2 linked regions of the Neodiprion lecontei genome follow. Each later gene encodes a partner of the first gene's protein in a complex. Links are inferred from orthologs where the notes say so. Each region holds a gene or a part of one and is shown on either strand. Other genes may lie near its edges.

The links. The genes of interacting proteins can lie anywhere in the genome.
Region 2: the proteins of queuine tRNA-ribosyltransferase accessory subunit 2 (region 1) and queuine tRNA-ribosyltransferase catalytic subunit are in contact, whole or in part, in a crystal structure (PDB 7OVS), measured with the Mus musculus proteins. The link is inferred for Neodiprion lecontei from reciprocal best matches to the Homo sapiens genes QTRT2 and QTRT1. Residues at the interface, in NP_001343258.1 of Mus musculus: Arg39, Thr40, Gly41, Ser42, Ala43, Pro44, His45, Leu46, Thr47, His48, Gln49, Thr50, Asn53, Glu70, His71, Glu73, Val74, Glu77, Tyr78, Phe85, Ile86, Gly87, Phe119, Gln342, Glu343, Phe345, Tyr355, Asn359, His360, Ala363; in NP_068688.2 of Mus musculus: Thr50, Thr53, Met54, Lys55, Gly56, Ile57, Thr58, Thr59, Glu60, Gln61, Ser64, Arg80, Pro81, Leu85, Lys88, Ala89, Phe95, Met96, Asn97, Ala307, Lys308, Phe310, Pro320, Thr324, His325, Ala328, Phe329, Ala332, Leu333, His335.

Annotation. Positions count from the first base shown.
Region 1 is NC_060261.1:4,131,270-4,141,600, reverse strand, and holds queuine tRNA-ribosyltransferase accessory subunit 2, read right to left. Parts: upstream 3,106-10,331; 5' UTR 2,949-3,105; exon of another isoform or gene 2,851-2,948; 5' UTR 2,781-2,850; coding exon 2,664-2,780; intron 2,530-2,663; coding exon 2,383-2,529; intron 2,294-2,382; coding exon 1,829-2,293; exon of another isoform or gene 1,749-1,828; coding exon 1,549-1,748; exon of another isoform or gene 1,474-1,548; coding exon 1,348-1,473; exon of another isoform or gene 1,269-1,347; coding exon 1,145-1,268; 3' UTR 1,106-1,144; downstream 1-1,105. Other genes in the region: ZZ-type zinc finger-containing protein 3, read left to right, coding at 73-106, 214-455, 512-637, 731-982. UniProt on the Homo sapiens protein: Non-catalytic subunit of the queuine tRNA-ribosyltransferase (TGT) that catalyzes the base-exchange of a guanine (G) residue with queuine (Q) at position 34 (anticodon wobble position) in tRNAs with GU(N) anticodons (tRNA-Asp, -Asn, -His and -Tyr), resulting in the hypermodified nucleoside queuosine (7-(((4,5-cis-dihydroxy-2-cyclopenten-1-yl)amino)methyl)-7-deazaguanosine).
Region 2 is NC_060264.1:15,985,195-15,995,870, forward strand, and holds the start of queuine tRNA-ribosyltransferase catalytic subunit, read right to left. Parts: upstream 5,142-10,676; 5' UTR 5,101-5,141; coding exon 4,960-5,100; intron 3,701-4,959; coding exon 3,611-3,700; intron 3,489-3,610; coding exon 3,335-3,488; intron 1,885-3,334; coding exon 1,752-1,884; intron 1,219-1,751; coding exon 1,057-1,218; intron 943-1,056; coding exon 774-942; intron 1-773. Other genes in the region: DNA polymerase alpha catalytic subunit, read left to right, coding at 7,567-7,582.

The DNA.
Region 1 (10,331 bases):
CAGCTATGGACAACAGAAGAACAGCGACGTTTAGAGGAACTTTTGGTCGAATATCCGCCTGAAGAAGTAGAAATGCGCCGTTGGACCAAAATTGCCAATGCACTTGGTAAATGTTTTTTCATTCTACAACTGATGTGAGATCATTCCATAATTAATTGAACTTTACTCTTTGTTATTATAACATTGCTAAATGTGAGACTTGCTATATTACAGGTAACCGAACGCCTAAGCAAGTCTCAAGCCGTGTACAAAAATATTTTATCAAGCTACTCAGAGCTGGACTTCCAATTCCCGGAAGAGGACCAAAAGTTAAATTGGATGTTAAAAGAAGTTTGAATCACAGACACCAACGAAATAATTATTTGTTGTTTAGACCCTCCACGTTTTTTCCACATCAGGACATGTCTTTCAACATTGGCGACGATATGCGCGATATGTCGGTGACGGAGGACTCGGTAAGTCTTCTAACTCTCAACGTTTTATCGAGTTCTGAATCTTGCACTCTGTTCAGGAAGATGATGGTGGAAATGGAACCACTGAGGATACTGTAGAGTTGAGACATATTCAGTTGCTTCGACAAGTCAAAGCAGAAAAAGAAGATGAACAGTTGCAGGCTTATCAGCATGTTGGATACAAAGTAAGTCACTTAACATTAATTTCGCGTCCAAATAATGAAAATCACGATTATGCACTTCATTCTTGCTAATGAATTTAATGTCATTCTTTGCAGTGTTCATTGTGCGAAGAAGAGCCTCTGAAGGGAACCCGATGGCATTGCGAAGATTGTCAAGGTAAAACGAATCTCTGTGGAGATTGTGCTGTCGCACAATTGGAGTCTGAAACGCCAATGCATTCCCCGTTACACAAATTATGTGCTGTTCGACCATCTCAGTCAAATAGAAGCTACGACACGGATTATTTTCCACAAAACTTCAGTAATTCATCGTACAATTACCTAGATCCTAATTTTCTGCCTGAATAATTCTATTTTATATTTTTAAATCAGCACGAAGTATAAGTGCAAAACAACTTGCTTCGTTTTAATGCACAATCATTGAATAATTTCGCGTATTGGGAGATGTTATCAAATCAGAAAACGACCAAGTGTTAGAAAAAATGGTTTTATTGATACTATACACAAATTTTAGTTTGCTGAATCATTTTTAGCAAATATCACATAAATTTTGGTTTCTAGTTCCCGAAAAGTGCCGTTCCGTAAACTGTTTCGTATCTCCTTGAAATATTCTAGGTAATGGTGTATGTTATGTCTGAAATTTGAAAAAGTTCGGTAGAAGTATAAATTGCCCTCAAAATATTGCTAAGAAAAATGCTCTTCATTTTACTTACATCATTAAGAGAACTGCGCCCAAGAGTTCTTTGGTCTGATACAAGTGATGCAGATACGCTCTCGTATGATTCAAACATGTCAAACACTTGCAATCTTTGCAAATAGGTGTGAAATCATCCGCATACCTTGAACAATTAAAAAGTAAATCAGATACTGTTTTGTTCAATTCAAAATATAGATGCACAGAGAATGTAAATTACCGTTTTTCTGATATCGATATCATAGGCGATTCGCCGGTTTCAGAATGATGGTATAAAAATGTGAGTGCACATGATCGTTCGGTGACGAGATAGGGATAAGAAGAATCGAATAAATCCACTCCTAGTTTGATAAGATTTATTACAGTTACGGGGTTCCAGGCACCCATCGTGACACGCATTTTGTCCTGTGGTAATAAGCTCTGAAAGAAATAATGCGATCAGGTTGGAAAATAGAATATTCAAGAAGCTGAGTAGTGCATTTTTTTGATGATGTACCAACAATCGTGTGTTTGACGATATCTTCCACAAACTGGAAAGGGATCTTTTCAGTTTCTGGCCCGTTATTGTGTAACCCGTCAATAACATATCCAGCCAAATCTTTGCCTTCTAAATTTTTTATGCTCATTTCTCTAGCCGTTGTGTTGTATCCGCCGCCAACGGCGCCAAAAATGCCTTTATTTCTTACGACTTCAGACGCCTTATGCCTGGTTAAACACTTATCAAGCATTTTTATACTGCGGTCTACAGATTTTGTGATTCTCTTGGAACTGCTACCAGAGTGGGTATCGCTGTCGTATAGTGCCAGATAAAAGTCTGGCCTAAATGCCTCGACTATATCCATATAACCATCTGCGTTAATTATCTGCTTTCCATGTCTGGTCCACACTGCAATAGTGTCTTCGTCATTGTAGCCAGAAACAGTGGGTTGTGCCGGATCTTCCATTGTAAGAAATACAGGATATTCCTGAATAATAATATCATTACGAAGGAGCATATACACAACGCATCTTTTGAAATCTTAGCCTTTAATTTATGTTATAATTTAAACTTTACCTTCAATCCCACAAAATCTGCAATTGATTTAAATTGTCGGACTGGATCGGTCATGTCGAATGTGGTAGGCAGTGACATTGTTAGTAACAGTTTTTCTGGCGTAATCATTTCTAGTACCTCTTTGGTAATATGTGGAACGCTACCACGCTGAAATTATTTGTAAATATTGTTGTATAAAAAATAAATTTTAATAATGAGTATAGTCTTCGCTTACATTGAAATTTGACTGAAAGATTATAATAGAGATAAATTTGACAAGTAAATTTAAAGAAAGAGGAAACCTTTGTGTAAAGCATTAATAGTGGTGTTTCCAATACCACATCAGGTGTTCTCTCTAATTCTGACAGTGTGCCAAGCCGAGCTGAAGATTGTGTAAACAATTCTGGCATAAACTTCATTATGCTTTGCGTACTTCATGTAATACAGAGCACAACAGGTTATTGGAAGGTTATTAGTACCATTCTGAAACTACGTCATTGTTTTAGTAGGTTAGAAAGGAACATGCGTCAATTTCTATGATTTTTTCGACGTGACCAATAACACTAATAGTTCAACGTGTTAAATACTTCTGTGGCTGTCAAGTGACGCTGATTTTATTAGTCAGTTAATATTCTTCCCTGACTCATGGGTACGTGGTATACTCATAGCGCTGCGAATTGAGAACACGACGTAACCTCAAATAGTGACGTTTAACCATCGACGTTGTTTCGCATGGCGGTGTGTGAAATTAACCGTTGACAGTAAAACTCAAAGACTGACTCCTCTGCAGATTTTCGTGACCAGTACTTGGCGGGTAAGTGGACCTGGGCGACTGGGGTCGCTAGAAGCCGTGTTAACGATCCGGTAGCTGCTTTATCGGCGGGAACTATTAATCCACCGGTTTTGTATGGTAATTCTTTATCGACCGTATTAATAATCATAACAACCCTCATCATTGCCATACCCAAAACAATTTTTTTTATCACCTTCTGAACGAATCCAAATTGAATTCAGCTGGCAGAAAATGAACTATAATCCACGGGTCGTTCATCAAAATAAAATAAGATATCGTAAGTGCTAGTAGAATGTGTTCGGATTAGATCGCTTAGACCGAATATAGATGACGAAGAATATAGGTGGGCGTCTCGGGATCAGCCGCAGGATTCGAGCATGTGCGTATGGGTATCTCTTTTCAACAATGTCGTTGGTTGATTCGTCGGGAATCAAACGATGGTAGGAAAGTCGCGATGTACCGCAACGTTATTAACTTTCGAAATGCACAGTGTGAAACAATCACGAAGATTTCAAATTTCAACGTATAAAATTGAGCATTGATCGGCTGGGCGATGACCAAAATACGTATATCTATCAGGAACAGGAGTGTAGGTGTTTATAGTAACGTGTTAAAAAGTTAACATGACCGGTTGGATAGCATTTAGTGGAAAAAAATATGGAAAATAAAAAATGTCCACATCGGAATACCCCTTCAATGCTGTCATTCTCCAGTCAGAATCCTGTGGTCATAGATATCATCTGCATAATTTCGTCAAAAGTTCCTAATGACAGGCAACCAGCCGGCCAGTCGGGAGTAGCGGCTGCATACAGAAAGGCTGTGTGCGAAAAATGAGCAATATGACGACGTTAAAGGACAAACATCGCGCCACATCTAGCGGAAATTTTCGTAACACGTGTATTCGTAATTGATTCGCGCGTCGAGGGGGATGATCGGATATTCACGACGGGAAACAACAACCAATCAGGAGGAAGAAGGATCATCGGATGCAATCGGATGACAGCGGCGAGATCGGCGGAACGAATTTCGGCCCTCCTCGTGGTTCGTATTCTTCTTAATCTTCGTTCGACAAGCCCAGAGTCAACACGTTGCGTTAATTCCGTGCAACTCGTTGATCTAGAAAATTCCCTCCTGCTTAATTCTTCCTACCTTTTCCTTTTGTTACCTTCTTCACTATCGATTTTACCGTAACTTTTACCTTTTGCTCTATCGTTTTACCTTCGTTTCCTTTTCGTCCTCTTACCTTTTCTACCGTTTTCTTTTGCTACTGACAAGTTTATTTCACATTCGAATCAGTGAGTGCTCGAATCATCGGCTAAGGTAAGGCTTTTGGTTTTTTACTGTATGCTAAAGTTGCAAAGCTGCTCATATCTTTCTCTCGTATCTTCTGTACCGTATTTTCTTTGGTTGCGTCCTGTGATGCTTTTGAATTTCCGAGCGACCTCGCAGCTAAAATTTTTACTTCTTACATGAACGAGTACGGTTTTGGGTACCTTTTACAATTTTTTCTTTCCGATGAAAGATATTTATAAATGTGTTAGATATAATAGTTTGTGCGGATTATTGTTTGGAAAACGTCTTTTGCGATGATCGCATGCTGCCCGGAAACAAATCGTTCAACGTAAAAATGTCAAACTAGCAGTTTTTGCATAAAATTGTGTAGTGCTTGAACGGAGGAAGTAATGAAATATTGATTTTTCATAAAACAGCTGCAGTCCAAAGTAAAAGTATCGATTTTCAACGAACAAAAACGCTCTATATTCATTGATAATAAAAGAAACAAAAAGGCATCGGAAAAACCGTTTACTTCGTTCAAGTACTGCTTTTTCGAACGAGGTTGAAGTTGTAACGTTATTCTAACGAAACATTGCTGAAAAAAATCACAATTTTCTTAATTTTACAATGATTTTTAAGGAACTAAGAATTCGAAATATAAGTGGGTTTTGTTTTATTACGGTTCATCGATTTTCAGACAATTCAAAAATCGCGAAATAACGGATTTTCCTCACCATGAATCGTTACGACATAACGTTACTAATTTCAATATATAATTTTCTCAATACATATTGCAATGATTTTCGAAATAACGTGGTCACTGATTTAACAAAAGTCATTTCTTACGTGGATTATACATGTATTAGACGTGGATGAAAAACATCTAGAATGTTCGATGCCGGTATATGCCCGTATATTCCGATGTAAACAACGGATTTTGCACGCCACATAACATGATCAACTTTTTCATCGTAGAGGTGACCGCTGTTTACATCGCGCTGTGGCTTTAGCCGGTTCTTCTAAAAGCACCGGTTGTGGTTATTTTATTTTCTATTTATGACATTGTAATATTAAATCGACCTTCTTCGAGTTATGAGTTTAGTTGAGGTCGCCGTACCTTTCAGTTGTCCTGCAAGCGATTAAAATAAGTTTCTTATGTCATTGTTATACTGTGTTTTTGTAAATTCAAATCTCGCTTTGTTGTCTTCAATTCTGTTGTGAGCAAGGCTTACTCCGCATACTTTCTAGTATCTTCGCTGCCCTTCTCTCGTAAACTCTCTATAAAATTTGTTCTATTAATTATATCTTGAATTTCAAGCATCTTAATTTAACTATGTTTAATTTCTCATCAACAATTACTTCGTAAATTAGCTATCGCAATTCAATTTGTTTAATTATCTCTTGATTATGTTAGATGTTGTAAACTATCACTATCGTATTCGAATATTTCTCTCGCAAGTTGATAGCTACCGAAAACCTTTCGTACTTGATTAAGTTTTATTATTTGAAATTTGAAAGATGGTTTAATTTATTTATCAAGACTTATAAAATCAATTATCAACCCTGAGTATTGGGATGTCGATGAACACGAAATATTAACATAGTGATTTGTTTTTTTACCCGACTGCAGCATTAAACTGCAGGTCGATCGTTCGGGGCTGGTGAATATCTCAGTTGGGTGAACCTAGCAAAAAATCTTGGAAAACAAAGTACAGAAGCTGCATAGGTCACAACGTTATTGCAAGAACAAAAAAAAAAAAACAGGTACATTCGTTTGAAATCATACTTGATTTTGAATTACAATTTCATTTTTCATTGCAAATGATTATAGCCGTCATGCTTGACTGATATGAAATGTTGCCTACCAGATTTATGCATTTCTTTATTATTTTTGTTTATTCTATTCGCCTTCTATCAATAGTTTCTGTAGTTTATTTATTACTACATCTGAAACTATTTAAATGTTATTTAAAAAAAATTTAAATCAACACAGATAGTCTATAAAGTGACGTGAAATCTGATTCAAGTATATTGTTTTGAGTAATATTCTTTTATACTCTCATTCCAGTGTCGAAAGTACGTCGCTTCATCGTTCAACAGCAAATGCTACGAGAACTTTTTCATCTAAAGTGTGGAGCTTCATCGTTAAACCGTAAATGCCACCAGGATTATTTCGTATCTGAAGTGCGGACCAAGTCAGAAAAGGTGAGAATAATACTTATTCAAATAATGGTTGATGAATCAAGGTGGTAAATTTGGAGCTGAATTTTTATCCTTCCGTGACGTAAAGTGAATGAGCATGGAAGCGGACAATAATAATGATGAATATCAGCATCAAACATCCACAATATAAAAATTCGCTAAATTAATTCGAGCTTGTATCTTTATTTGTTACAGAGTTAAGCGAAGACATCCGAATGACTACTCCATTACTTGGCAGCATTGGTGAGTTTGCATGTATTTGGGTTACAGGTGCTTCTCCAGGTCGCTTTTATCACGTGCCAATACTTACTTTTGTTTCTGATTCTGCAAGTAAATTTTTTTTTATAGCTGTTTAAGATCTAAATAACAGTAAAACGGTAATTCCAAGTTATTTAATTGATTGATTGTGAGTCAAGTTCACAGGGTAGTTGTATAATTTAAATTTCATTCTACAGATCACTTTCAATATTATATTCTACTTTCTTTGCAGAATATCCCAATTTTATTTTATAAGCCTAAGCCCAAGCAATTACTTTCAAATTTACCGCATAAGCTATTGCCAGTAATTCGTTTTCAACTGTTTAGTAACTTCTCTTTCGTTGATCTTGTAATCTGGTTACATATTTTGTATTCTACCGGCAAATCTTTTCCTACTGGACCCTGACTTAATACGCCTCCTTATATGACGAATCTTGATGCATCCGTCGTTAGTATAAAAGGTATGGTGAAAGAAAGATATTGAAGTATTGCATTTTCTCACAATTTATCCCGCGATTACGTGAAAAATCCTGTCTAAAGGTTTTACTATTTTGGAAAAATTTGGTACAAAGCGTCTGTAATTGCCAATAAATTCTAGAAATTATTTTATATTCTTTGCGTTTTGTTGTCTTGGGAAGTCTTTAACTGTTACTATCTTCTTTGGATCAGATTTTACACAATCTTCTCTGAGTAAACGGCCTAAATAGATTAGGTACTTGCGTGTTCAGAAATTCGCATTTTCTGGTCAAAAGTTTTCAATTTGCATTTCTTAATTTTCTCATTACAAAGAATTAAATTTAACCTCATGTTCATTGAGTGAACTAGAGTATATAACTGTATAATCAAGGTAATCAACTAATTCTATTTATTTGTAACGCGATTAAAACGTGACCCATCAACCTGTGAATAATTATTTTTCCTTAGGCTTTAAGACAAATCAGTTCTTCAAATGTCAAGGGTCATTTTCATGAACTATTATTGCGAGAATATTTGTTATCACTAACTTACCGTTGCCCAGAGAAAGAAAAATAAGAAAAAGTGAAAAAGAAAGAAAAAAAAGAAAAGAAAAAAAAAACCAACAACAACATCGGGCCAGACAGATTTGGTACAATTTTTTTTTTTTCCAGTCAAGGTTACTGGTACCGAATTCTGTGACGTACTCGTTGTTGAAAAAGTATTCAACAATAATATTTAGCAGGGCAAGCCTTGATTTGAAGATTAGAGATTAGAGGAAGAAGTTTTCTATTACATTAATTGTTTACAGTTTTTATAAAATTGTTGCAATTTAAAATATTATCGTTTGGTACGTTTAATGTTCAGCAAAACTCATGATGTTAAATATTCTATCTTGAGCAGATAATTGTAGAAAAATTGAACGATTTTCCTTCCTGTCGCAACAACTTGAGGGTAGTTTATTCCCGAGCTGTAAGGTGTTCGACATCCTTTTTTGCGTTCAAGAACAACCGGAATAGAGGATTCTTGATTGAAGTAATTGAAGTAAATGTGGATTTCGAAGGTGAAATAACACTTGGTGATTTATTGATTATAAATGTTTTAATGTTAAAACTACCGATCGGGAAAATCGGGAATAATCAGGAAATTTTGCCTGCCGGTAAAAGTCAAGGAATAATGATGGTCTATAGCGAAAAATGTACGTTTTTTTTTTTTCATAAATTGTTTTTAAACTTCAACTAAGCTTCATAGATCTCAATCAGCGCTCCTTCCAAAATTCTATTTTTACACTTGGCTCCCACCAGATTTGGATTTACCACAAACAGTCTTGAAACTCGGAATTTTTACGTCAAAGCGTTAAGTGGAATTCTACAAGTAAGACGTTTAAGAATGAAACTTGCTGCTTCTTCGTTAGATGATTTCCCTAGAACTGAAGCATCTTTTATCCATATCAACAAATGGAAACTCTCCGTCCCTCTATCTTGTTACTCGCGTCTCCATAAGTGATCAGTTTACCTCTCCAATCGAGTTATCAGGTGAACATATCAAATTTGTCGTACCTCTGAACTTATTTTCAATGAACAGAACTGCAGATACTGGGTCAGCATCGATCAGTTGATTTTGTGAAATTATACGTTTTCATTTTAACTGAAATGTTCTTTATTACATACCGCACATACAAGTTATACAAAATCTGACGTTTTTTTTTTTTTTTTTTTTTTTTTTCTCGTGAAAATTCCTCTCACACAAGTAACGGTACGGTACTTATAGTTTGAATAATTATATACCGCATTCGTGGTAAGCCACGGTTATTCACTCATAATCAGATACAGGGTTGTGGAAAAAAACTAATATTTTACGATTTGAGCTTCCGTTTGAAAGTCATTCCGAGACAAACTGCGATTATTCGTTATTTTCATGATTTAGAATTGCGGCTGCAGCCGTCTTGAGATGTTCAATACAACCATGCGCATTTGCACGAGGGACAAGAGAAAACTGCAGAAAACCTTGCCCAGGTGTAGTCGTCGGACCAAGTTCAAGTAACTTCATATTTTTAAATTATTCTTATTTTCATCGTCTAAATGGAGTAAGAAAATCAAATTGATACTTGAGAATAATATTATTACATTTAATTGAATGTTAGGAATAAAATAATTTGGGACGAGGGGACGTATTTCGCAGATGACGACATTAGGATAAACCGTGATCGTTATGGTATCGTGAAATATGAAAGAGTTTTATGTAGCTGAAGTTATTAACGTTACTGCAAAGATACATATTGAGGAAAAATCATTACATTGCAGTATTAAAATTCTCTGAAATTTAGTAAGCCATGCCGAAATCAAACGTATATCTATATTTATCAAAAACCAACTCCTTGAAAGTTATTCTGTAATTGTAATGCAATGAATTGCTTACCGATGTTTGGTGGACGTGAACGTCACTTATTTCAAGCTGGTAGAGTTTTTGAGATTCAATATATATTTTTTTTTTCTTCCGTTATGAAATTTTTTTTTTTTCCTCATTTTCCCTAGCCAGCTATCATTTTCAAAAGTGGTGTCGTGGGGTATTTGTTTTTCCGATACATTCAGGCTGGTTCGGAATTTGTATTTTCTCACTCGTTTTGACATTTCTAATATATAATCGCGTGATATCTCGTAATATCAAAGGGTCACCGACAGGCAGAGAAAACCCGAAGTACGGGAAAGATCCGCGATGCTTTCCCAGTGCGAAGAGTTCACCAATTCAATTCAACGGTTAAAAAGAAAGTTTAACGATCTTGTCAGGTAGAAAGAGTAAAGTAGGATCTGCTATGTGTCAAGAAGGAGAAGAGTTGACAAACGAATTCAAAAAGCAAGAATTTTATGATGACCGGTGTAAGAAAGCCCAGGACAGGCAGAAAGACCCAAGTACGATCCGCGATGCGTTTCCAATGGGAAGAGTTCACTAATTCAAATTGAATTCAAATTCAAAGGTTAAAGCTGAATTC
Region 2 (10,676 bases), on another chromosome or scaffold:
ATATATCGACATTCCTAAACGTTTGCGATGTTTGTTGCATGATATTCGAGAAGGAAGTGACTACCCACCTACCTATACCGATAGGACTGTTATCTTAATATTTATTTCAACAACTATGTTTGAACAGTAAGAAACCTGATGATGGTAGGTGGGGTCCTGCCGAAACGTCGTTTTGAAAAAAACATAACTGATTGCTATAATTGCATCATTTCATCTCTGACCGTCACCTAACTGAATTGAATCTGTAGAATTCACTGATACTAAGTCATTCGATATTGCTAGTGTGGAGAAAGAAAAACGTTAGACCAACATGTATTTCTATTCATTCTTGTGAGCTAAAGTTTTAATTTATCTTTAATAACGTTATGGCTGCACCTTAACATTTCCAGCAAATTCAGACGTTGGTTGAAAGTCGTGATAGCGGTGGAAACATGGTTTTTTTCATTGCGACTGTTTTTTCGATTGATCGCGTTGCTAATTGTTCTATTGATTAATTTTCCAAAGAATGGACTGATCAAGAATTTTGTTTCACTGTTCTTTCAATTAATCAAATAACTGGTCTCTTCCACTAATATTTTTACGACTAATCCATTGATCTGTTCTTTCAATTAATTGTTTTTCGGATGGAACAATGGATGGAAGTCTACGATTAATCGCACAGCCCTACTTCATAAAAAAAAAAGATGTTTTTGTGATTTTATTCCACAACCTTTCATGAAAATAACGTCTGCGGTAATAATTCACCTAATTTGAAACATAAAAATTTCAATTACCGCTGTTCTGGTTGGAAAGACACAGTCGAACATATCCACTCCCAAAGCGCAGCATACGACTAAATCAACAGCAAATCCAACCCCCATTAAATACCTTGGTTTATCGACCGGTAGAACATTGGTTGACAAATGTACCATTCTCCAAAAATCATTCTTGCTTTCTCCACCACTGAAAATAACCATCAGATCAGACAAATAGTTACACATCACAACTACTAAACATCGCATATCTTATTTAGTAGTGTCGATAATTATCGACAATAAGCAATATATCCAAAATCACCTCAAACCTCCTATGGCAAAACCATTGACTTGCCGCTGTGTCAACAATTTAGCACTCTCTGTTCTGAGCTGTGGATCCAGTCCGCCTTGAACAATAGGAAAAATATTTTGCTCATCAGATTTCTGATGAGCCAAAAGGCACCTGTCTACCCATCTTGTGGTTCTAATGAGTGCAGAGAGAAAAAAGAATTTTATTATTCAGTGGCAGTATTGAAAGTCGGTTGGATTATGGTGGAATAATTTTTATTCCCAACTCAACTGTGATGGGCACTTTATTGACCTAAAAATTGAGACAAAAGTAGAATTTGACATACTTTTTTCCCGCATCTGCGGAAGAAAAGTTCTTATTCCCCACATTTGTAGAAACAAAGTTTTTATTTTCCGCTCATTTGCGGGAAAAAAGTAGCACTTTTGTTTAATGGGGACCACTTTTTAAGTGAATAAAGTGGCCACAGTTATCGAGAATAAAATCCTGTATGCAACACCGGAATAAAACTGATTATTTCCTTGGGTGATTATTGTCTGCGCTTTGCTCAGGCAGGACACCCAGCCTCAGGAATAATCTTTGACTTTATTCCCTTATCACCTAATGTTACTATCTCTCAAACAGATTCTAGTCCAGCATCTGCAACTATTTTTTCTCCAATTATCGTGGACAGCAGGAAACAATAGTTTTTTTTTGCTCAAGTGAATTACCTATGCATTGCCTCTTCAACTCGAGGCCCGGTTACTTTTGCATGGACCACATCATCCAGCTGCATTATGATATCTGCACCAATTGTGTTTTGTATCTCAATTGAGTGTTCCGGTGTCAACACACATTCAGATCCTGAAAACAACTTACACAACAAAGAATTAAGGAATATCGCACCAATTCTAAATACTAAAAAATGTGGAGTACTTGATTCACAGAAAATAATTTCTTTCAGCTCTAGGGAATATACTGTCTAAGCAAATGTTCTGAATGAGCGATGATATATTTGTAGCTAAGAATAGAATTTTTTTTCTTTTCATTAATTTATTAGATCGTGTGTGAAAATTGAAAATTGTTCAGGTTAACACTCAATCTTTGCAAGGAATTTGAAAAGGTGATTTATAGTAACGAAAATGAGAAGTTCTTCATCGCGAACTTCATTGAGTTTTATTATACTTTTAATCAGTGATAATAGTACACTTGGCCAAGTGGATTTCACTCTAAAATGTTAAACCAATTTCAAATTAAATTTGCAATGTACATCTGCATATGACACTTGGTCAGAAAAACCAGGACAAAGTAAAAACATGTTAATAATCAGAGGATTAACTCCGCATTTACTACTTATATGTGAACGTTTCTGTTAACTTCAGTATATTACCGAATTCAGAGAGTAAAATTTGAGAAAGTTTCAAAAGTGGAAGCGAGCAAGCATACTGCAAGAACGTAACATTTAAGAATTCAATACTAATATTTGTTTTAGTGCTTATTATTAGCTTGTGAAATTTTAAAGAATATTATTCTCATTTTATTCTGATCCAATAAATGCTACGTCATTTTTTCATGCAAATTAGTTGCATAATGATAACAATAATAATTATCATTCCAGTCTCGCCATGCTCTTTCGGATATGTCTTCATAAATGAATAGCTTTTGTGGGGTGTAGTAAGGATGGACTAGTGACAATCATTATGCGTCCGCAGCTGTCTTAAGATGTTTAATAGGAACACCTGCATTCGCACAAGGGACAAAGAAAACTGCAGAAAACCTCACCTGGGTATAGCCAGACTGAGTTCAAACCTCAGCTTACCGATTTGGCACCTGAACGACGCGACATATGTCACATTTTTTGTGAGCTGCCGCTCAGATCCTCCTCGACATGCCAGGGATTTGAACTCAGCTCCGCCAGTTTCACAGTCTCGCATGCTACGCTACTACGGTTGGTTCTACATTGGCTACTACATTGGCATAAACAGGAATGATAATAACAAATGCACAAATTTTGATTATTTTTAGAATATTTTCATGCTGGGATTAATATTTGGCAGAAATAGCTGTTTTAAATTTAAGAAAAAGCTACAGCTGTGGCTGATCGGACATTTTTTGGTGGAGATAGCCTTTAGCAAAATTTTTCAGAACTTTACTGTTACCTTAAGAATCTTCCAATTTCTCCTGATTATGTCGTATTTTAGAGCTTGACACAACATTGATAATCTAAAAATTTAACTACTGGACAACTGATTGGTGTGATAATTGATCAACTTAAATCGGCAACAGATTTTAGCGATGATTAGGTATATATTACCGTCATAGGGAGAACGGAACGTTACACCCTCTTCAGTGATATGTGCGAGTTGAAGTAAAGAGACCATTTGAAATCCACCTGAATCAGTGAGAAGAGCTCTTTTCCAATTCATAAATTGGTGCAAGCCACCTGCCATTTGCAAAATAGTTGTACCCTTAAACATTTAAATATGTAATTAACAGGTGACCAGAATTAATGGAATCATAAATCACGAAATTATCATTTCAAATCATGTAGAAATGATTGAAGAAAATTCTTGGACAAAGTTCAACTAACTGGTCTTGTTCCGAGGTGATACGTATTTCCGAGAATTATTTGACAGTCCAATTTTTCCAACTGCTGAGGCAGCAGCCCCTTCAGGGTTCCCTGTAAAAAAGATTGCTAAAAATATTGTAAACTATGCATTTATATTTCAAGGGCACAATCTTGTTTTCTACATGTTTCATAGGTTCGTTACGCCCGATCAAATTAGCTAATGATGGAATGTTATTTCTAAACATTTGAGGAACTGAAATGTCCTTTTAGTTTGCGATATGCTGATTAGTAATAATGATACAAACAAGAAACGTTAAACATTTTGTGTTACATATGCAATCATGATATTATTAATGTAGCTATGAGATCCAAAATGCTTCAATAGTTTGAGATCGGTTGGCAAAAAATCAAAACTTTTTATTAGATTTATTATGAAATGCTCGTACACTACGTGTTTATTAAATTATATTAAATGGAAACTATAGAGATATTGTCAAAAATACAAACATAGTAAATACCAGAATTATGCATAAAAGCTTAAATATCCATGCCTCGTTTCAAATCTCTTCATAAAATAGTTAAAAAACGTAGAACAACTATTTAATTTCATACTACATTGCCAGATTTTTACTATAAAGCCTCTGAAACAAATTTACTTCTTCTCAGTAATTAATTCAATATTGGCATTTGTTGATCATAGGGTGTGTTCGTGTTACCTACATTTTCTATACTTTTTATGTATGTCATTTTATTGACATATTTCGCATTCATACTTTTCAGGCAAAGTCGCATGGACGTATATTGCTTGGAAAGAATGGGTTACCAACACGAAGCATGGTTTTTACATAGCATACTGCGGCCTATTACACGAGTTTTTAATAACGAATTTTCTAGACTTTTTATATTTTCGTGTGAGGATACTATCACTGTATATTTCAAAAGTGTAGAAAGTGTAGCTAACACGACAAGTCAATAATCAATATCGATGCTTTCAATGTAAAATCAATGCAAAAAGTGTCACAGTAAATCGGAGAAAGTGTTCTTAATAACATGCAACATCGTGAAGTGAAATCGAACAAATACACTAGATTTTTAACGACTTTGAAGCAGTTTGAAATGAAGCATCGAGATCTGAGCTTTCATTTATATTAATTCCAGTATTTTTTCTTTGTGTATTTTTAACGAGGGATCTCTACAGCCTGCTAATATAATAATTTCACGAATACACAACGTACGATCATCCCGTAATATAGTTCTTCAAGATACGAACCTCCTTAACCAAATCTGTCAGAATTGTGTATCTGTCAAAAACTAGCTAACCTAACTACTTGTATTGTACCAGTACATGGCGTGACTTTTGTAGCCTCTACCTGAGTGCCAACCGGCATAAATACCGGAGTGTCAACATCGTGATGCGGTAGAATCATTAATCCAGTTCGAGCTTTCGAAGTTGAACATGTTTCTGCAATTTTAAAAGTCAAAGGGACTCGGCATGGCTGTTTGCGGTCCATGGCGTAATACTGTGCACAGGAGGTTCGTAAAGTTAGCAACCGAAGTCAAGATAATCAACTGAAAGTAGTTTAGATCGTTTGCGCGTGCCTTGAATATGAGGAATATCACTCGCTCTCGTTTGGGCGGTCATTCGTTTTTGGGAAAAATTTAAGTAAAGTTAGGATGCTGAATTTCAGCACCCGGATTTTGAAAATGATATCATGCGAAAGACTAATAGAATTTCAGATACATTGTGGTGCCAATCGTTTGCGCGTCGTTTGCGCAACCAGCAGCACGAAATAATTTAGCAGAAAATATGAAAAATGACCAGTAAAAGAATTATTTTCTCTAATATACCCGGAAATGAACACGGGTAACTAACAAAATAATGAAGTAGATATAAATATTGCGAGAGGTATTGCACTAGGTCTTGAATTAATTCAAGCAATATGTTTATTCTCACTTTCAGACGCTACCGATTTAGCAGTTTTTTGCTCTTCGGTTATACATCCGGATTTTTCCTTCAGAATTGCTGACATTTTTCACACAGTTAATTAAAATTTGATTTTTCATTGGGCTCGCTAGATGATGCTTATGATGCTTAGGATGTTTTACGCATCCTCTCGATGCATTGTTGGGAAGAACCGAAGAATCGTATTGTTATGATGCTTTCTGAATTTCTCTGGTAAGCTGAGCAATGATTGGCTGTTGCAAGATTCTCTTACGCGGCAGCACTGGCAGCACTGCTGGCTTATCCTGTACAAGGTCCCTAGATTAGACAGGTCAAGACACGTGTGTTCCAGTTTTTCTCACTATAACGTGGGCAAAAATGTTCTATGCGCGTTCGCCCAAAAAATATCAAATTTACATTACCGCATTAACCAGTTTTGACCAATCTTGCTCAATTTTTTGAGGTTCAGCATTAACGAGTTGCGCCCTTCGTGTCCTGACGTTCACGAAATAAATAGAAGCACGTATATATTTTGAGGTTAATCATTGTGACAGGTCAGGAATCAGAACCACACCGGGTGCTTTCCATTTAGAGCACAGTGTGACACAGTGTACAAATTTCTATTGTAAGCGGCCAACCCGGGCAAAGAAATAGACCAGAAATGTTTACACCGTGTCATATTGTGCTCTAAATGGAAACCATCTATTGTCATACGAAACTTTTGGCGCATTCTCACTAATTATTTTGACCATGCGTGTCTTGACCTGTCTAATCTAGGGACCTTGATCCTGTACATATAGGCCGTGTTCGAAAATTGACTGACAGTACTGTCGGCAATCTTTTATCTCTTTTGCCCTTCCAAGTTCGTGAATAGCTCTGATTCTGTCCTAGGGAATTTTCAGTACTGTCAGTCAATTTACGAACACGGCCATAGGGTGCTATTTCGGCCGTGTTCGAAAATTGACTGACAGTACTGTCAGCCATCTTTCACCTATTTTGCGCTGCCGAGTTCATGAACAGCTCTGTCTCTGTCCTAGGGAATTTTTAGTACTGGCAGTCAATTTACGAACACGGCCTTCATGAGCAGTAAAAAGCAGCAGTGGTTTAGTAACTTAGTAGTTTTCACTAGCATCAGTCTGGTAATTTTACGCAGCAGCAGCGCTGCTCATGAAATAGGTCGACTGTTCTTGTGATCTTGTGGCTTGTCGCTCGAAAAACTAAACTGCGAGCAGCAGAAACTTGCGCCGGAAGTGATAGGGGAAAACTGCTGCTGCTGCTGCCTTTTACTGCTCATGAAATAGCACCCATATACGTTGGGTGCTTTCCATTTACTGACTCAAGTCGACTTGTGTCGCTATTTCTGGTGTATTCCTTTGCCCAGATTGGCCGGTTACACCAGAAATAGCGACACAAGTCGATTTGAGTCAGTAAATGGAAGGCACCCATACATGTTCTAACCAGAGAGAAACCTTTATAAGGTCCTCCGTCAACGACTTGAATTCTCTAGCTAAATTTGTTTTAGTAATAACGACTAAACCATTGACTATCAGACATGGGAATACATCATCAAACATCAACAAACGACCAACAAAGAATTAAAAAGAAATCAATTTATTTGGGTGTCAATGACGGCCTAAGTATAGGTATAATATTGACCTGTTTTCTACCTGCTTCTCTTATTAGTTTTAACTTGACCCGTCAGGAGGCAGATCTTTCTTTTTCCATCTTAACAGTGTAATGAGTGTTGGTAGTATTCTTACCATCTTTTTCAGTGGTTGGCACCTTGCGGCAATTTTCCCGCTAATTTTACTGTAGTAGGTTGTGAAATTTTGTTTACACGTCGGTGCAGTTGCTCGGCTCTTAGCAGCCACGTGTTTTATAAATCATATTTTCTGCTTCCCTCCTGATCTGTGGTGTAGATTATGATTTTATGATCTTCTTATTCGCTCCATAGAACGCAGAGTGTTCCGTTGTGGAGTGTTAGTGTTAGCTTTATGACGTTTGGATTGTTCGTTTGTTTCGCTCTTACATCAGCATGGATGAACCTGCATGTAAGTCTTTCTAATTTAACGTGCATTTTTCAATGTCAAGTCGTATTCCCTCGACAAATAATCCATTTTAAAATTATTGGCTTGACGAAGATCTATAGATATCCTAAAACCTTATTATTGTCAATCTCGATATCGTCACATATCCATTGCATTCTTTGTCACGATTAATGTCACCGGTGTCACCTGTTATAACTCGCCCCATACTAGCTTAGAGACCACTGCGATACCATCGGATTATGTGAGATTGAAACTCGTAACGTCAATGTGACCATGCGATTTTGATAATTGCTATTTCGCAATTTGAGGATGGTCTGAAATCCGGTAAACTGTAATGGAGCATCAATTCACTCATGTTTTGCCCATTCAAGTCCTTCAAAGATATACCGAAGCTATAGAATGGTAATTTTTCTTTCGACATTATTTGGTTATCCAAATGTTACAAATTTCGGTCTCATATGCAAGTTATGGTCAGCTTTTGTGAAGATCTGCAGTTTGATAACTGTGGAAATACGTAACCTTATGTACATAGTAAAGGGGATGCATTACTGATCCTACAAACTTTTTCTAAAAATACAATATTTTGACCACTAATAAATTTCTAACGAAATGAGTTTTTACCATGCTGTTTGAATCGACTGTATTCCGTATCTTGTATCTACCAATTATTAGTCCTACTAATATCGAGATTTTTTTTTCATAACCTGCATTATACAACTGCTCTACTAAATACAAATTTCAAAATTATTATAATAGCATAAGGGCACGAGGTCGAAGTTAGTCATGTTATCGTGATGAAACATTGAGACAAAAGTTAATATTTTACTATTTCAAAATAACTTCTAAAGGAATTAAGTTTCCAAAATATGAAAAAGTTTTGCTTCAATGCGGCTTATGAATTCCTGGGAAATGCTCAGGTTATGAAATAATAGTTTTTCTTTTAAATGCTTCGTTAAGTTAGGAATTTAATCCCATGATGAAAAATGATTGTACAGAACAATTGATTTGTCATCACAGACCAAGTATCGGGTAATACGATTTTAAAAAAACTATTGGCCATAGAACGACAAAAGAAACTCCAATTCATTAAAATGTAATCCACTTTCGCTGGTTTACAAATTGTTGAACCAATTATTTCACAAACAAATACTCAAGCTGTGTTACTCCAAGTTGCAACTCGAAACACCACCTTGGATTAATTATTTTCAAGGTTTCTGTGATACTTTAAATTTTACTTAAAGGAATGCCGGACACATGTAACGTATTTGCATTGCTGAAGAACGTTAACAATTATTTTCGTTTTTTTCAGTAGGGTAGATGCGCCGATAGTTGGTCATCTTTGCATACCGTAATTTTCAACACACAATTTATGTATTGGGGGCACAAATTAATTCGGTCCGTTCTCAAAAGATGGATCTATAAACGTGGCTCTAAAAACATTCAATTTTTAAGTAGTAACAGCTGATTGCCCTGGTTTTAGACAAATTGGACACCTGCCGATAACATCCAGTTTGTATTGTTGTGAGTTTCATATAAAACGTTTTTTGTTACGCTGTTGAAAATGTCACTTTTTTTGATAACTGAACACCATTTGTGGGAAGTTTTAATTTTTTGTTTTAATTGGAAAAAAAGTTCAGCTAAAGCTCATCGTATGCTTGTGAAAGTTTACGGTGACAATGCTCCAACTGACAAGTCACGTAGAGAATGGTTTTGGCGCTTCAAAAGTGGTGATTTCAGCGTTGAAGATAGACCTCGCTCGGGACAGCTGAAATTCGTAGACGATGAATTACAGGCATTACTCAATGAAGATCCGAGTCAAACGCAAAACGAGACTATAATTACTTCGTTTGAACCGTGCATTACGAGAAAAACGACCGGAATATAAGGAAAGACATGATAAAGTTTTTTGCATGACAACGCTCGGCCTCATGTCGCAAAAGTTGTCAAAAAATATTTAGAAACGAACAAATGGGATTTCTTACCGCACGCGCCACATTCTCCGGACATTACTCCTTCTGACTACGGACTGTTTCGACGGATGCAACACGATTTGGCAGGTCACCGCTTCACTTGTTTCGAAGAAATCGAAAATTGGCTTCAAAATTGGGATTGCCGCAAAAGACGAGAAGTTTTTCTTACACGGGATTCCGAAATTGCCTGAGAGGTGGGGAAAAGTTGTAAGCAGTGATGGACAATATTTTGATTAATTTGTTAATTCATTATCTTTTGAAATAAATGCATTTTTTGAGCGAAAAAAACGGACCGAAATAATTTGTTCCTCCAATATAACTATACAATATGAATTTAAATAATGATGAATGGAATGATCAGGCGGCTTTCTTCAAGTTCAAGGCTTTCGATGTGCAATCAAACAAGTTTTTTTTTTTCCATCCGAACTACTGCGTATGACACAACCTGCTACGCAATGTTCTTCTCCCACCCTTAATGCTTAATGTATTATTTTTTGCAGTACAGATTGTTGTACAAAATATAAGTCACATCTATCTTAGCAAAGATTACAAATCACAAAAGCATACAAATTTTGTTTAAATTAAGCATAGTATCGATATTATTTTGGACTAAATTTGTAAGTGGCTGACAACTGGAGGTGGCTGGCTTACCTGTGCATCTGTCTTATGATATCCGTGAAAACAAGCTCTGAAAATAACAAAATATACGTAATTCATACAAAATTTGAAAGACAGGGTGGCCACCCGTCTGGAAAACCGGAAAAACCGGGAAATGTCAGGGAATTTTGTATGTCAGGGAAAAGTCAGGGAAATGTCAGGGAATTTTTTGGTTGGTCAGGGATATTTTATAGAACTCACGGATTTCAAAAGCGTTGTCCATAAAATTGAGATGCTATCACCGCATCGTCACAATTTTTCTTCTCTCCTTATTGACGATTATAAGCTTAGTTGTTGATTGTCACATGAATTCAGTAGTACGAGCAGACATCGGTTTGATTTATCTATGGCCGTCACTGCGTGTGGAGACGCACGTTCACCGACGCCTAATAGTCTAGAAAAAACGAAGTCTCAGTTTTTTGGCAATAACTCAAAAAGTAAAAGCGCTAGCGAAAATTTTAAAAAGATTC